Tribolium castaneum: one gene and its partner. The main gene of each other region encodes a partner of the protein of the gene in region 2 in a complex. Links are inferred from orthologs where the notes say so. Each region holds a gene or a part of one and is shown on either strand. Other genes may lie near its edges.

Region 1 (5,041 bases), on a different chromosome or scaffold from region 2:
TTCCTCAATCGTCTCGTCAAAACTCTCATCAGCGTTGTACTTGGCGATGTCTCGCCGCAAAGTCCGCACCATAATCATTGTGAGAATCCCAGAAAGGAAGAAAATCACAACAATGGAGTTTATGATCGAGAACCAGTGGATCTGGACGTCGCTCATTGCAAGGTATGTGTCCCAACGTGACGCCCAACTAATTTTCGAAGGCTCCCACTGGACCTCATACGTGAAAAATAGCTGGGTGCCAGTGGTGGTGTCCACAATTTGGGGGTCAATCAACTGGGGTATCGGCTTTTTGGGGAATGAGCACGTCTTATCGACAAATGTGTACTCATCTATGTGGATCGACTTGGCCTCAACGTGGAACCCAACCACGCGGTAAATCTCCCTAAATACATTGCCTATAATTGGACAATTACCCCTGATGATTACTCACGGGGTCGGGTTGTGGTACAAAAGGGTGAGCTTGAGGTGATTGTTGATGTAGTTGCGATCACCGACCGAATTACCCAGCCTGTAGCCGTGCTCGTACTGGATTTCGTTCGTCTCGGGGTTCAAAACAGGCGTAGCAGCCGGGAGATTGTCCACTAGTCTGGAAACACGTTTTAGGAACACAGTCATAGAAAAAATTAGTGCGGACGTACAAATGCACGAAGTACTCGTGTTGGATCCGATCCACCACAATCTGGGACTCCCCCACGCTCCAATTAATCGGATTTTTGGGGGTATTACACAACAGCGTACAGGGCGTATTCACTGCCATTTTCACGTCGTACGGCGTGTTGACAATCCTGTCACCCCTTAGTACTTCCCCGAGGTTCTCCGATTTGTAGTGTATCGCGTTTAGACCACCTTTAGGTAAACAAAACGGAAGAGAGTAATACTCGTACGGCAATTGCGTGTGGATACTCGTCATTTTCACAGCCTTGACTTCGATCGGATCACCGGCTTTGAAATCAGCCGGTGCCATCCCCGGAACATAAAACGAATAACATCTCGAAACACAGAAACTTATCACAAACAGAAAAAATTGCTAAAAAAGTAAGGTTAGGTCACGTCACTAAACTACCACCCAAATACCGTGCAATTCATTTTGGCGCCACGTAACCGGTGAAATGTGGTAATTCTCAACGTCTGAAATGCTAAAATAGTGTAATAATCATTGTTAATCAATTTAAAACCGTGCCATTAACGCCAATCAACCACCAAAAGTTGTGACAAACGTCAACTGCACAACTGGTTGCCCACACAAACAAAATCATCCTTTTTATCTCTTTATTAACACAAAAATTGCCGCAAATTGTTGTCTCACAACATGGAACGTAATGTTACGCGCAGCCTTAATTAGTTATAATTAAAAAATAAGATTAAAATAAAAAATGCCCGCGCATTATTGGTTGCCTATACAAGAAAGTAACACTTTTTATAATGTTGGGGTTCTTCTGTACCAAAACCTGGCCCGAAAATCGTCCGAGCAGGTCAGAAAGGCGGCCTGCGTGGGGCTGTGCGCTATGAGTCTAACCGCCCCATTGTGTCCCAAAGACATCAACTGCTTCCTTGAAGCATTCCTCGAATTCCAGGCACACAAAGACGTCGTTGCCTCGTCAGGAAACAGGACGTAATCCTCAGTGTGATTAAAAACAGCCTGAGCCTCATATTCCTGCTTTCCGGTCGTCCCAGCTCCCGTATAAGCAATCAAACACCGGCTTGTTGTCAGTTCCCACAATTTGCAAATTGAGTTTTTCCCCGACGATAACAAATATTTGCCGTTTTTCGAAAATACGACCGAACAGACTTCAAGTCCGTCGTGTGCTTTCTGAAACGTGTTTATGCAACGGTTCGAGACCGCGTCCCAAAGTTTAATATTGCCGTCTTTGCTACAAGTGGCAAAAACTCGCGCGTCTTGCGACCATTTGAGACAAGTGACGCTCTGGGTGTGTTGGTGGGAGGGGAAAGCACAGACGTAGCATTGGAGGGTATTGACGTCATACAGTCGGACGACGGGGTGGTTGGTGGCGACGATCATGTGGTCGCCCCCGGGGTGGAAAGACATGGCTCTGATTGGTTCCGACTCCTGGAAATATTTTATTTTTATTAAAAAAGGGTGCTTGATCCTGAATTTTTAACGTACAGATATTGTTTTAAACGCCTTCTTGACGCTGGCTTTCGAGATATCAAACATCTTAATCGTGTTGTCCTTCGACCCTGACACCAAAATGGGCTCCTTAGGGTGGAACTCCAGACAAGTGACCTCCTCCATGTGGTCATACAGCGTCCTAATGACAGGATGCCCCTGTTGTTCGCCCCTTGAGGGATCCATCTCGTCCGGCGCCGACTTGGCCAACATTCTATCAACATCCAGAATCTTAATACTAGCGTCCACACTCCCTGTTGCAATTAATTGCCCATCACTTGAAAAACACCCAGCACGACAATTCCCTTTATGTGACGTCACGTACGCAGTTTCATACAATGCGGGTTCGGGCGCTGGGATATTTGACTCAGTCTCAAATTCGAGATCAAGCCCCGGACCGATATTATTGTTCCCTATGCCGGGGTTTTGGGGTCTCTCCTTACGGTCAGGCTCATGTTCTAACCCGGCCATGACAATATGAAAAAGACGGTCACTGGGGGCACACGGAGGGTCCGCTTGGACTGCGGCCGTGAGATTAGTGCCGATGCTTTGGTGGCCGTCATAGAAGAGTTGGCTTGAAGGGAAAAATTTAGGTTAGGTTGCCGGTTTTGGGTGTTTTACCTAATAATGAGGCGGTAGAGGAACTCGCGACTCTTGAGGAGGTTCGTCGTGTCCACGTCTTCGTCCTTAATGCTTGAGTTAGTCATTTTATTGAGGTTTTTTAAATATTCCCTTTAACAACAAATGCGACCCAAACAAATCTAGAGGTTTCGGATTTGTTACATTGGTAGTTTGCTGTAGTAAAAAATTATTTTTTTTGACCAAAACTCGATAAAAAAATTAAATTCGAGTATTTGGAATGTAACGTATTACTATTTACCTTGATTTAGTTGCTTGGAAGGCAACAAATTATTTGTGAAAATTTCTTTAGGGATATTTTTTGCGTTGGCAAAAAGGAGGCAATTTAAAATTAGCCTTGAATTTTTTCAATGAAAGAAGGAACGTAAAAAAACTACGACTGAAATGCTGAATTCGAAACCTTTATTGAAAAACTCGATAGGCACAAAAATCGTTATTCAGTAAGAGCCATGGAATCGCCGTCTCCGGACCTCCTGCTGCCCAGGTCGTCCGTAGTTGAGGGTTCCGTTTCAGTGGAGATGTCCGGAGTCGAAGCCATGGCAGCTGAAACTTTTAAATTTAGATAAAATTTCCGTTTTTTGTCGTTTCTCACCTAAATCGCCCCCATCCATCAACAATCTGTTGAACTTGGCCCAATAATCGACTCTCAAAAAGTGCAAAATCTTCACAAACTCTTCGACTTGCAGTTCAGGGACCCTCACAATATCTCCGTAGATCAGGCGTACGACTTTTCTCATCACATCCTGGCTGAACTCTTCTAAAGTAATTTCCCTGATGGCTACCTGGTTCTCCAACAACTGGCGAAAATAGAGGCTTCGGGTCATTAAAATAAGTTTATGAACGCACACACTGCCGTGGGCGCAGAGAATCTCAAAATCGAACAATTCTCGACTGAGAGGATCGTCAAAATGGAAATTTTGGACTTGAGCACCGTCGGCGTAAAGACCTGCGTTCATCTTGACCGGCTTTGAAACACTGACGAGGTCGAGGAAGATAAAGTCGGAAAAAAAGTTTGAAAAAGTCAGGTGATAGCGTTTGCGGCGGCATGCGAACGTGCGAAAATGTCCGAATTCCATAATTCGATCGAAGAAGTGCAATTAAACGAGAAAAATGAAGAAAACAGCGATAAAAATGTGAGCCAGTTTGAGGGAAGCAAATTAGTGATTGATTTTTTAGGCCCTTTCGTGCGAATTATGTAATGTTAAAGTCACCAGTGTGAAGATCCTTCAGCGCCATTTGGAAGGGCGAAGGCACAAAATGAAGGAAGAGAGACAAGGAAAAACATTCGTTTGTGAATTGTGCGATGTCGTCGCAAACAGCGAAATTCAGCTAAACATCCACTTGAACAGTAAGTCAAATGTTGAGTTTCGAAATGATGAGAGACGTTACAGGCATCAAACACAAGAACAAGCTGATGAAAAAAGAAAACTTCATTTCGGACGCGACAGGAACCGCTGGCTTGTGGATCTTACTCTTCTGTGTCGTTTGTATTTTTATTAACTTATTGTTGTTGTTTAAAGTGATTTGCCAGTAATTTTGTTCATTGTTACCAAATTTCTATTACCATTAAATTGTTGAACGATTGAAACGACTTTTCTTAAACCCAAATATATATTTCAGTGAGTAATAGCAGTAATGTACAAATCAAGTGTTTTTATTTCTATAAAACCGAATCTATAGAAAGAAACACTAACCATAATCACAATCTAGCAGTCTCATGTGTCTAACTAAAACAGCCCTCGACCTCGCAATAAATAGCCTTAAGTTTAATCAAGTTCGGGAAGATTTTCCTGAATCCAGTGAAGCGCATTTCTAACATTTGCTAACTTAGCTCTACACAAAAAACTAGAAATCAACAAATACTCGGGATACGTCCTCCTCCAATTCCTTGTAAATTTCTCCCCAAAACTCTTATTATTGATTTTGCCCTCGCACAAAACCTTCGTCGTCAAACTCAACAACCACTGCAAAATCTAAAAACAAACGAATGACGATTGCTATTTTACCTAAACAAAAGACAATCACCTCGCCACTTGTTGGTACTTTCAAGCCCGGCTTTAGCCACGTGCTAGGTGCCCACAAAAACAACTGACAAACGTTGGCCGCAACTTCCGGATCGAGACGCTATTTTGAAAAATAATTTACCCTTAATGAAAAACAAAAAAATCATTACCAACCTTATTGGGATTGCGCTTCAGGAGATTGGCCACCAAGGCTTGAATCACAGTTGGCACCTCGTCGGGCAATTTCGGTAAATCCCCCTCCTTGTAATTA
Region 2 (3,425 bases):
TGGAAGTAGCTGTGGATTAATGTAATGATTGGCTTTGTTTCTCTTATTCATTTTTAGTTTACATAAAAAAATAAACTATTTCTGAAAAGCTATTTTTTCTTAAAACTAATTCTATCACGTAAAAATCTGCGTTTGCTAAAAATGCTTATTATTTTTTCTATGCATATGAATTTCTTCAGATTGTTTGTACAGTTCCTTATAACAATTATTATCAATGAATTGAAAATATTAATAGTAATATTAAAATTAAAAATATAAAAAATAATATAAAACTAAAAAATATCCCTAAACAACTCCTACTCATAAACGTTAATAAACGTATTATAAACGTAAAGTATAAAAAAATATCATTAATATTTGTTTAAAATTTCAAGAAAAAAATGTCAAATATTTTTTTAAGTGTTACGTTGGCACAAATTCTAATTGTTTAAACGACCCAATTTCATTATCAATTAAAAAATTAAAAACAGAAAAATAATTTCCATTGTACTTTTTTTAACTCTGCCTTAAAAACAGATGCTGTCTGTATTTCGTCACATATTATTAATATTCTTGCCTTAAAATAAGTAGTAAAGGACTTTTTCGTTTTAATGTTAGGCAGATTGTAAAGTAGAAAAATTTTACTCGTTACTTTTGCTGTTAAAAAAAATTCTTTCAGGTCGAGCTGTGGCAGAAATATATCGCGTGGGAGAAGAGCAATCCGCTTCGCACCGAAGACACGGCCCTCTTGACCAAACGAGTGGTCTTCGCCCTTGAGCAATGCCTACTTTGTTTGGGACACCACCCTGATATTTGGTACCAAGCGGCACAGTTTCTCGAATACAGTTGTAAAATTCTAGCCGAGAAAGGGGTACTAATTAATTTTGGCGCCAAACTTAAATTTGTTTATTTTTTGGTGGTTTTAGGACGTCAACGCTTCGAAATTATTTAGCGAAGAGGCGGCAAATATGTTCGAGAGGGCGACGAGCTCGCTCTTGAACAAAAACATGCTACTTTACTTCGCCTACGCTGATTACGAGGAAGGGCGTTTGAAATACGAAAAAGTCCACCAGATTTACCAAAAGTACCTTGAAATTCAAGATATCGACCCGACACTTGTACCAATACAACAAACAAAAAAAACGGTGTTTTTATCGTAATTTTTAGGCGTACATCCAGTATATGAAATTCGCCAGACGGGCCGAAGGGATCAAGTCGGCTCGGGCCGTTTTCAAAAGAGCGCGCGAAGACAATCGCTCCAAGTACCACATTTTCGTCTGCGCCGCCTTGATGGAGTACTATTGCAGTAAAGACAAAAACATCGCGTTTCGAATTTTCGAACTGGGTTTGAAAAAATTCGGGGATATCCCCGAATATATCACGTGTTACATCGACTATTTGTCACACTTGAACGAAGACAACAACACGCGAGTGCTATTCGAGCGCGTCCTGTCATCTGGAAGTCTAGAACCGGAAAAATCCGTGTACGACATTGGTATTTTTCACGACCAATTGACGAAACAAATTTCATTTTTAGTGACATTTGGAACCGTTTTCTGGAATTCGAGTGCAATATCGGGGATTTACAGAGTATTGTCAAAGTTGAGAAAAGACGATCGGAAGTCTTGTCAAAAATTAAAGAATTTGAAGGCAAAGAAACGGCACAATTGGTCGACAGATACAAATTTTTAGATTTGTATCCCTGCACGGCCACGGAACTCAAAAGTATAGGGTGAGAACAACTGTGAGATTAAGTTGGCAGCACTTATTTTTATTTTATATCAGGTATACAGAAGTGATCAACATAACGGGGGCGGGGCGCAACCACATTTTACAGTCGATAATCAACCTCGACGGCGACGCCCCCTTGCCCCTGCCCGACTACTCACAAATGATCCCCTACAAGCCCAAGTCCAACCCCCTTCCGGGCGAGCATCCGGTCCCCGGTACGTATAATTTTTTTGCCAACGCGATAACCAAAGTTTTTTAATTTTTTGACCAACGCGGTAACCAAATTTTTTCATTTTTTCCCAGGCGGTGCGTTCCCCCACCCTCCGGTGGCGGCGTACCTGTGCACGCTTCTGCCGCCCCCGGCATGTTTCCGGGGGCCTTTCGTCAACGTGGACCTCCTCATGGACATTTTCAACCGGATCCAGTTACCGGATTCGCCCCCGCAGCCGTCGGAAAATGGGGGCGATGTGAGGCTTTTTGATTTGGCAAAATCCGTTCATTGGATCGTCGAGGAAGGGGGCGGAGTCGGGATTAAGAGGAAGAAGAGACTGGGATTGGCTATGGATGGGTCAGATGATGAGGATTTGCCGCTGCCGCCGACCAATGATATTTACAGGCAGCGGCAACAGAAGCGTGTGAAATGATTTAATTGTGCTTTGTTCATTGTGACTTGTTTAAGTATAGAATAAATTGATTTCATTAGGATTATTCTGGTGTTTGATTTTACGGCGCCCACCGGGGAACCAAATTTTATTTATTACAAAACTCAAAATTATAGTTCCCTTAACGACTTTCTTTCAAAATACCTCCGCAAGGCGGCGTCAAACACTTCCCCAACTGTCCTTTTTTTCCAAATGTCAATTTTCGGTTTTTTGGGTGGGGGTTCAGGTGCTTGTTCCGGTTGTTTTTCTTCTTCTTTTTCCTCCTTGATTTCTTGTTTCTTCTCTTCCACTTTCTCCACCGTCACTTTTTTCTCAGTTTCTTCCTCACTGTCGGAAGAATCGATGCTGAAGTCAGAATCGGCGTCTAGATTCGAAGGGAGATGTTCTTTCTTCACTTCTGTTTCTTCCTCCTTTTCGCTCTTATCCGATTGTGAGTCTGAACTGTGGCGTTTTCTGTATTTCCTCTTACTTGGCTTATCTTCTACTGTTTCTTCTTGTTTCTTATCTTTTGTTTTTTCTTCTTGTTCCTTATCTTTTGTTGTTTCTTCAAAATTTACTTTCTGGTCGTACAAATGGCGGTAAAACCCGTCCAAATTCCCCTGTTTCGTCACGTCTCCAATCGATTCCAAATACTCCTCCCTCCTTTCCAATTCCTCCATCTCTTTCATTTCCTCCAATTTCTTCTTGTAACTACTAGTGACGAACGCCTCCTTATCTTTAAATTCGTCACCTTCCGTCTCCCTTTCTTTCTGTACTTGGCGTTCAATGCGCCTTTCATTCTCTTTTTTGCGTCGATCAGCAGCAGCAAGCAATTTATTTATGTATTTGGGCTTCCTGTCCAGATCTTTCCTACTCAATTTTGACTCCTTACGTTTCTTGTCCATTTCGTCGTAAATCTCGTCATACTGGAACACTGTTGGGTCTTCCTCAACTGCCCGATTTTGCAAAATTTTGTCTTGTTTTTTAAGCGATTTTTTGGCCCCCGTGGGGACTGACTCCTCCTCATCGGACTCATCGAAAATTGCGGGGCGTTTAATCACTGCCTTGTCCTTG

What was found.
Region 1: the proteins of protein suppressor of forked (region 2) and CstF50 are in contact, whole or in part, in a crystal structure (PDB 6B3X), measured with the Homo sapiens proteins. The link is inferred for Tribolium castaneum from reciprocal best matches to the Homo sapiens genes CSTF3 and CSTF1. Residues at the interface, in NP_001317.1 of Homo sapiens: Tyr581, Pro582, Lys583, Pro584, Asp585, Thr586, Gln588, Met589, Ile590, Pro591, Phe592, Pro594; in NP_001028693.1 of Homo sapiens: Arg118, Glu216, Ala217, His226, Pro227, Ser228, Asp230, Phe231, Thr240, Arg242, Leu243, Tyr244, Cys251, Phe252, Val253, Ser254, Cys255, Tyr270, Ser272, Ser273, Ala274, Asn275, Gly291, Val292, Ser293, Asn294.

Annotation. Positions count from the first base shown.
Region 1 is NC_087398.1:3,467,899-3,472,939, reverse strand, and holds CstF50 (cleavage stimulation factor subunit 1), read right to left. Parts: upstream 2,962-5,041; 5' UTR 2,836-2,961; coding exon 2,750-2,835; intron 2,703-2,749; coding exon 2,126-2,702; intron 2,069-2,125; coding exon 1,418-2,068; 3' UTR 1,256-1,417; downstream 1-1,255. Other genes in the region: TM9SF4 (transmembrane 9 superfamily member 4), read right to left, coding at 1-382, 431-586, 639-1,027, 1,075-1,086; zinc finger protein 346, read left to right, coding at 3,829-3,900, 3,944-4,115, 4,159-4,301; Pink1 (serine/threonine-protein kinase Pink1, mitochondrial), read right to left, coding at 4,534-4,740, 4,793-4,891, 4,945-5,041. UniProt on the Homo sapiens protein: One of the multiple factors required for polyadenylation and 3'-end cleavage of mammalian pre-mRNAs. May be responsible for the interaction of CSTF with other factors to form a stable complex on the pre-mRNA.
Region 2 is NC_087401.1:11,674,033-11,677,457, reverse strand, and holds the end of protein suppressor of forked, read left to right. Parts: intron 1-658; coding exon 659-850; intron 851-905; coding exon 906-1,097; intron 1,098-1,146; coding exon 1,147-1,463; intron 1,464-1,516; coding exon 1,517-1,711; intron 1,712-1,764; coding exon 1,765-1,925; intron 1,926-2,013; coding exon 2,014-2,354; 3' UTR 2,355-2,418; downstream 2,419-3,425. Other genes in the region: nuclear speckle splicing regulatory protein 1, read right to left, coding at 2,483-3,425. UniProt on the Homo sapiens protein: One of the multiple factors required for polyadenylation and 3'-end cleavage of mammalian pre-mRNAs.